2 linked regions of the Oryzias latipes genome follow. The protein of the gene in region 2 binds, or shares a complex with, the protein of the main gene of each other region. Links are inferred from orthologs where the notes say so. Each region holds a gene or a part of one and is shown on either strand. Other genes may lie near its edges. The genes, in order: prpf38a and ik.

Evidence for each region.
Region 1: ik (region 2) and prpf38a share a complex: the UniProt entries of both Homo sapiens proteins name them as parts of the spliceosome B complex. The link is inferred for Oryzias latipes from reciprocal best matches to the Homo sapiens genes IK and PRPF38A.

The regions. Positions count from the first base shown.
Region 1 is NC_019862.2:23,723,213-23,726,559, forward strand, and holds part of prpf38a (pre-mRNA-splicing factor 38A), read right to left. Parts: intron 3,260-3,347; coding exon 3,174-3,259; intron 2,073-3,173; coding exon 1,962-2,072; intron 1,872-1,961; coding exon 1,765-1,871; intron 1-1,764. UniProt on the Homo sapiens protein: Involved in pre-mRNA splicing as a component of the spliceosome.
Region 2 is NC_019872.2:23,309,935-23,314,517, forward strand, and holds the start of ik (protein Red), read right to left. Parts: upstream 2,809-4,583; 5' UTR 2,604-2,808; coding exon 2,594-2,603; intron 1,613-2,593; coding exon 1,546-1,612; intron 1,462-1,545; coding exon 1,369-1,461; intron 1,305-1,368; coding exon 1,245-1,304; intron 1-1,244. UniProt on the Homo sapiens protein: Involved in pre-mRNA splicing as a component of the spliceosome. Auxiliary spliceosomal protein that regulates selection of alternative splice sites in a small set of target pre-mRNA species. Required for normal mitotic cell cycle progression.

The sequences.
Region 1 (3,347 bases), on a different chromosome or scaffold from region 2:
GAGACGTATGCAGCTAATTCTTTCCACCGACAAACGAAGTGCATGCATCATGCTAACGAATCCTTTCTGTTTCTACATGTGCACTTTTCAATAAAGATTTTTCAAATAGAAGTGTTGAACAACAGTACCTGGCGCGACCGCTAGAGGTCTCCAAAAACACGCAAAAAGATTTAAAACACATTCATAAACACTATAACTTTCACTCATAACAGAACAGACTGACATGAGCTGGAAAAAAAAACTTTTTCCATGGGATTGATATAATATTCTAAATTTTTTACAACAGTTTTGGTATTTTATATTCTTTAAGGAACAATTATCAAAAACCAAAGAAAAAAATAACCAATATATTTAAATCTGTGTAAAGATACTAGTTATAAAGATATTGGTTTCAAGTTTTTGGCAATACTTTGTGTAACCAGATGCTTCAGTATTTAGTAAAATGTTTGTTTTTAATTTTAAAGAGTTTTTTAAATGTCCATCATAAGAGGCAGTTAATATTAGATGTATAGAAGAAATAAAGATGTAAGTACTGACATCTGAGTAGGTTTAGTTGCTGTTGAATTCATTGGTATCGAAGGAAAACCAAAAATTGGGGAGGACAACCAAGTTTACTTGCCTCGGACAACCATTTTTTCCCCCTTATTTCTAACACTGTTGGCCATCCAATCACCTTCACCCTGTTCTTCCGAAATGCAGCAGTAGCTTCAGGAGTGTGTTTTGGATCATTGTTGTGTTGGAAAAGTGCTCCTTGACCAAGTGCATAAAGTGATGGCAGCATCTTCTCCTTTAGTATAGAGCAGTACATTGTTGAGTTCATGATGCCATCAATGAAATGCAGCTCCCCGACACCAGCAGCCCCACATCAGCACACTGCCACCACCATGTTTCACTGTAGGCACCATGCATTTTTCTTTGAAATTCTCACTTCAGCAACACCATAGTTTTAAAACCATTAGTTCCAAAAAGGGGGATCTTTGTCTCATCACTTCAGAGTATTGAGGCCTTTATCTTTTTTAGCTAATTCTAGACGTGCTTTTTTGTGCACGGGCTTTGGGAAAGGCTTCTTTCGTGGACAATAACCATGCGTGCCATTCCTCTGCAGCGTGCGCCGGATGGTGTCACGGGAAACGGTCACTCCAGTTTGGCGTTCTACTGCTTTAGCTAACTGCAGTGAACTACAGTGGCGATTTTCTTCAACCTTTCTCATCAGAAGACGCTCCTGTTCAGATGTTAGCTTCTGTTGACGGCCTGGACGTCTCTGTAAGATGGTTGCACTTCCATCTTTCTTAAATTTTTAGATTACGATCCAAAAAGCCCTTCCCATTTCATGCTGTCTCCGATAGCTACCCATGGAAAAGAAATGTCACAATATCTGAGAAAGGACAGGCTTTTCTTTGGTTAAATGCTCTTTTCTAGCCACCTCTGTGCTGTACACGTCTTAAATGAATCAGTAGACTCACTTGTGGTTGAATGCCTGATAATTAGAATTCTGTAGTCTTAAGTTTGGCTTTTCTCCTAAGACTCTGACTGGGGTGTACTCCTTTTTACAACGTGGGCGTGACCTAATTTGTTAGGTCAAAAAACAAAAACACACGTTTTTGTGTGCAACTTAAAATATCTGGTTTGCAATCAATGGTCCACCTGTGTAGAAAAATGTTAATTCCAAAAGAACACTGAAGGTTTTCGGACAAATGTAGTGGGGTGTCCTCATTTATGCTGAGCACTGTACATGAACGACATAAGATCTGAGACAACACCCACCGTCTGGGTGAGCGGCTGCGTCTGTAACGTGGCGACGGTGAGCGGCGAGGTCTGTCGTTGTCACGGTAACTCCGCCTGTGAGGTTCGGGGGAGTGCAGTCGCTCTGGCTGTGGGCACGGAAAGCAAACACGGAGTTATAACTCCTGCAATGATATTCGGCCAAACCAAGAGATCAACACATCATCAAAGGCCGTTACCTTTTCGTCCTCCTCATCTTCTTCCTCACTGCTTTCCACTTCATCCAGGTCTTCCTCCAAAGCGCTGACCCGAGGGTCCAGCATCTCTGCCTCCTCCAGGACCTGCCTCCTCTGTGACACACAGGAAAGGATACGATGACTTTATGGAGGAAAGGGGTCACTTGTTTGTTTTTACTCAAAAATTCTCAAAGACAAAACTGTTGTTACATCTTTGTTCATTGTTATTTGTTACTGGATTGGCCGTCACGGGACATACGGCATGACACACAAGCGCCATTACTACACATTGAGTCTTCACTTGTTTGGTGAAGAAACGACGAGGTCCAAAGTCCGCAAAGAATTACAAACGGGGACACGATGTATTGCAATGAACCACAAAAATGATGACAACAAAATAATTTATTACAAAATAATAAAGGAAACACATTTCAAAGGTTAGTGCTCGCATTTTAATAGAGAGAAATCAGGCTGGGAAGCGTGAGGTGCAAGTAGCATTGATGTTTATTTTTAATCAATGTTTGATTATTTTATCTTTTAATTTATTGTTTGTGTGTTAGCCTGGGGGCGGTGCTGGCAGTGCAGACTCTTCCTGCCCCTTCGACTGTTCTCCACTTAATGATGTCACAATGTGAGGACCCGCTCGTTTTCGTGGGTTAGGAGGCGCCGGTGCTCAGAATGCAGATTTTTAGAGGAATACCCAGAAATGCGTAAACGGATCAAAACACCGCTTTGGGGTTTATAGTGAGAAATAAACATTACAATACACTTAAAAGCTCAAAAACCTGATTTTGAATGGTGTAAGCCTTTTAATGAAAAACAAAATCCAAATGGTTACGAATATGATTTGAAACCGATTAAAGTAAATATAAAAACACAAAAAAATTCCTCTTTCAGACACATTTCTCGGTAACTGTGTAGAAAAACTATTTGCCCTAATTTCATTTCTATCCAATGCTTTCCCCATGAACTAAAACATAAATTTGAGACAGACTACAGAGCTTTCGGAAAATATAGACACCCCCCCCAAAAAAAACTGGTCCAGTAGCTTCAATAAAATGTATAACTGACAGTTTTTTTCTTTTAAAGATTACAAATTTAAAATGCACTATTTAAAAGATAAAACAAGTATGACATTCTAAATCTACAACTGATAGTTGTACATTACTGTACAACCAATTATGAGTCAAAGGGGGCTTCTGGGAAGTTACCCACCTGAAGTCGAGGAAGGATGATGTCACACACTCTCTCTGCGTGAAGAAGTTCATCTATGAACTCGTCGACGTGCATCAGCTCAAACTCTGCATCAAAAACCAGAAAAATCCATCAACCTAACAGAGCTTCATGAAGGCTTACATGTGTCACTCCTTGTCCAGGTCTGGATCCACA
Region 2 (4,583 bases):
ATCGATCATCAATACTCGTGATAAATTACAGATGATGGATCAAGTGAGCAGACAGGGGAGTCAAAGTGAGGAAACGGTCTTACAACCAAACTGAACACAGTTCCAGCCTTCCTCCTCATTCGTCTACAGCAGGGGTCGGGAACCTTTTTGGCCGAGAGAGCCATAAACGCCACATATTTTTAAATCTAATTTCAAAAGAGACATACAATAATGTAGTGTCCCTTTCCCAACTGAGGCACGGAGACTTAACCTCTTTTAAAGTTCTTTATTCTGGTTACTATAGACCGCAACAAACGCCGTACAATTAATTCAGCAACTCCTGAATCTCTCCCGCCGAGACGAGAGCGCTTCTCCCAACTTTGTATTCCCCTACTCCCGCTCCAGCCCGCCCATTTCCCTTATTTGGCCCATAGCTGAACCCCATTGGTCCAAACTACCTAACAACAGGCTGAGTGACAGAACCGAGAGCCAATCAGATCTCTGCATGATGCGTTTAGTGAACTCCTCCAGAACTTTTAACGCGGCCCAACAGCCAAGTTAAACTCTGTCCGCGACAATATGTTTAAATCTAAATATACAAATAAATGTGTGCATTTAATGTAATTTCAACATTTTTAAAGTACAATAAGTCTGTGGATTATTTTGAATAACATTGATATCCTGTTGCTAATAAATGATGAGTATTTCTCGTAGTAGTTTTGCTGATGGTCTAGTCTGGTTATGTGGGGAGTTTCTGCTTCATGCAGGCGTTGAGACTTTAAACGTGATCGTAGGTCTGAATGTTCTTTAGATGTGAGACAGACTGATCACATGCAGACACGGAGTTAAACACACACTCACACTGCAGTGAGTGACGGGCAGCGGGTTTTACGTTTTTACAATCCCTGCGCGATTCACCTTCTGGCCGTGCCCCCCCCCCCACTCTCTGCTTTCTTCCTCACACATCCCGTCCCCGCTAATGCGCGCTCATTCTCAGAGACGGGAACGCGCAGTTTTAGGCACGTCAATTCACAGGTTTCCGGCTGGTGCAAACTCTGTGAAATAATAGATAATAGTAAACTGATAGTTTTCTCTCCAAGCACCGCTACTACGGCATCGCATCGCGCCCGAGAAGGACTGGACTAATGAAAAAAAAAAAGTATAATTAAAGATTTGTCTGCGAGCTACATGTGACCATCAAAAGAGCCATATATGGCTCGCGAGCCATAGGTTCCCGACCCCTGGTCTACAGTGTGGCTGCTCACCTCTTCTTTTTCCTCCTTCGTGCTGCAGGGTCCTCATCTTCATTGTAGTCTTTGGGCATCCTAGAAGAAACACAGGTGAGTGTGTCTGTAGGAAGAACAGAACAACACCTGATCCTTTACTCACTCATGGTGTCTGGACTTGGTGGGCGGGGCAGTTGCAGGTGCACTCCGTGGCGTCATGAGCAACTTTCTGAAGTCATCATTGGTCAGTTTGGACCTGAGGATGCAGATCAGTGTTCACAGAGTTGGACAACACGTGCAGTCAGCAGCACAAGGTAGTTTAAGGGTGGAGGAAACTCACTGAGCAGCACTTCTGTGGTCGTCCACTTCGTGGCCCTCAGGGGCCAGGGGGTTGGAGTAACTCTCAGCTGCAACATAAAGGATGGTAGTGAGCAGATGGATAAAGGGTCAATTTTACCTAAAAAACAATTCACCCAAGCTAACAGTCACTTGAACTTCACGTGGAGTAAAGCTGTAGAAAGTCATTTGACCCCTCAACCAAAGTGAATTAAACTGCTCCACTATTTAATACTGACGTCTACTGGTATCTGTGGAAGACCAGCTCGTTTGGGAGATGTTTTTATATTAAACAACACCTGAGTAGAGAGAGAGTTAAGGTAATATGGATGACGAAAACATAGGTGGTGGTGGGGGAAACAATCATAAAGCAACAAGATGCTGGAGGATTATCATCATTATTGTCTGATGTAAATGTTAGTCAAAAGGGGCGGCGCCTGTCCACACACATACTCAAGTGTCACAAACATACATGTTGGCTCCAAAAATACAATAATGTCAACATGTACTTAACACAACTACAGTTTACACGTACACATGCACACAAACCAACACATGTAAAGCATTTCATTCTGTCACGCATACTATTGTGCAAAGGTGAGCTGACATCTGTGCTCAGGCGGGTGTTTATGTTGTGCTGAGGTGGATGATGAATGCAAAAAGAGGGAGATTGCCCGGCTGTCCCCAAAACAAGACCCCTACCAGTGGTAGTGTAATTCACATAAATCTCGTTGAATTAAAGCCGTAAAACACAATGCTTAAGAATCTGGAATGAGCTCTAGTAATATTTTCAACGCCAATCATTAGTGAGTTATCAGTAAAGAAAAACTGTGTTTGTGTTTTATGTAGTTGTTAAGCATTTTCCGAAACGCAAAAAAGATACCCGGATCTTAGTGGTCATTTTAGTTCGTGATACGTCTACATTGAAATGTCCGGACCGGGACCCCGCGCTGAGGAATCGTGGAGTTTATTTTCTTTACACAGTATTAACCGGATGTTTTCCCATCGCTGCTAAAGGCTAGCTAGCATGCTAACACTCAGCTTTGACTTACTCTCAGGCATCTTTACGGACAACTGCTTCTGTCCTGTAGGAAGACGGGACTCAGGTCCGGCCCGGTTCGCTCAAAGTTAGCAGTCTAATCTGGCTACTGTTCCTTTTTTCTGCGGACTTTCGTCCTTGTTTTTCCCAACTGTTCCGCAAAGCTGCTGCTTCCGTCCGGTTTGGAAAAAGGCTACAGGTTCACTGCAGATGCTCTATCGTCCCCTGCCGGGCTGGAGGGAGAGGAAATGTGACTGAGGAGGGGAATCTCTTTTACTCAAAGAGAAAGTATACATATGCACCTCCTTACATGCTTGCATACACATTGTTCATAAGCAAAATATTGGTCTTATACATATTATATATATATATTTACTACAGAACAGCATCTTTGTTTGCAGCGTCGTAAGTACGCCAGCGCCATCTGCCGGGCGTTCTACACACTACAGTTAGCTAAAATACGGATGAAATAGTCAACGTTTAGAACCAACTAATTTGTCAACTCTACTGCTTTTCCCCCTTTAATTATCACGAAGTTTAAAGGATTAAATGCTTCAAGTATAAGAGCCAACGTATACATAAAAATTCCGCTTAGAAAACTATATTGACAAACCAGCTTGTGTAAGACTCTACCGAAACACTACACTGACCCCTGCTGGTCAGGAGAGCCTCTGCAGCTAAAGGCTCTCCAGGACCCACTGGAGGTTCTGTCCGTGGAGGTTTGTTTGAATTTCCGATTAGAAGGGAAGGATTGTCTCTGACTGAAATATCCCATAATCCACCAGTTTCTGTGGATAAACTGTTGCAGAAACACAGCAGAACTGAACTTACTAGATTGGTTGGGTTGGAGATTTCACCATTTTTTAAACCATTTTTTACAAAAGGCAGATTTATGTTCTCCATCATGTGTTTATAGATTTGCCACCTCTGCCCCAGAGCAGTTGTGGCTACATCAGTAGCTTACCATCACCAGGTATGAATGAGGAGGGAAAGAATAATTGTAAGAACTTTGAGCGTCTGGAAGAGCGCAGATAAATACATTATTATTGTTATTATTAATACTTCATTAGATATTTTTTATCATGTCTTATTTCTCTTTGTAGAAAGACTACAAGAATTTTCCATTTTCTGCATGTAGTTTGCATGTTCTCCCCATGCATGCGTGGGTTTTCTCCGGGGACTCCAGCTTCCATTGACAATGAATGAAATTGTGCAATTTAGATTTACGATAACAAATGTGTCTAATGGAAACACAATTGAAAAAAACTCACATTTAATGAAAAAATATTTGGGCTTTTGAGGTGAATCGAAACTTAAATATTTAGGAAAAATGCAATGGAAACAATTTTTTCTAATTATATGACTCAAATAGTAATGGCAATGTGCATCTTGGTAGGAACTGGCTGCATTGGACACTGTACAGTAGGCGCCACAAGAAGTCCAACAGCATCAGAGATCATCAAAAGTTGAGCTCGTCATTTGTTAGTGTTGGATCCACTGCTCCTCTGTAAAATCACAAACCACCATTTCACAAAATGTCTTCATCCGTAGTCAAGTAAGGAGCTCGTCACTCCATGGCCTGGATAAGATATCAACGTCTCCTTTGATAGATGATGATGAGCGCCAGTGCCGTGGTAGAAATGTGACTGTATCTGTTATAAATCAAAGTAATGTTCACATCTATAACCATGTCTTGGAATGACTTATCGAGTGAGTTAGTTTTGTTTATTCGTATATTTATGATTTGATGGAAACAGTGTAGTCGCGAAATTATGTTTTTTCAACATTTTTAGAATTTCAATAAAGTTTTGTGCAAATGTGTCATGGAGAACTACTGATAAATCAGAAGAATAATTTTGGCCCAGTTATTGGTCAGTTATTTCTAAAAAGTGCTTTGTTGTCTTGACATAACTACTGACCCTTTTTTATGTGACGACAGTATCTTTTTCCACAGAAGCATAATATGATAGACTGCGTCATAAAAAACAACCTTTGAACTTCAA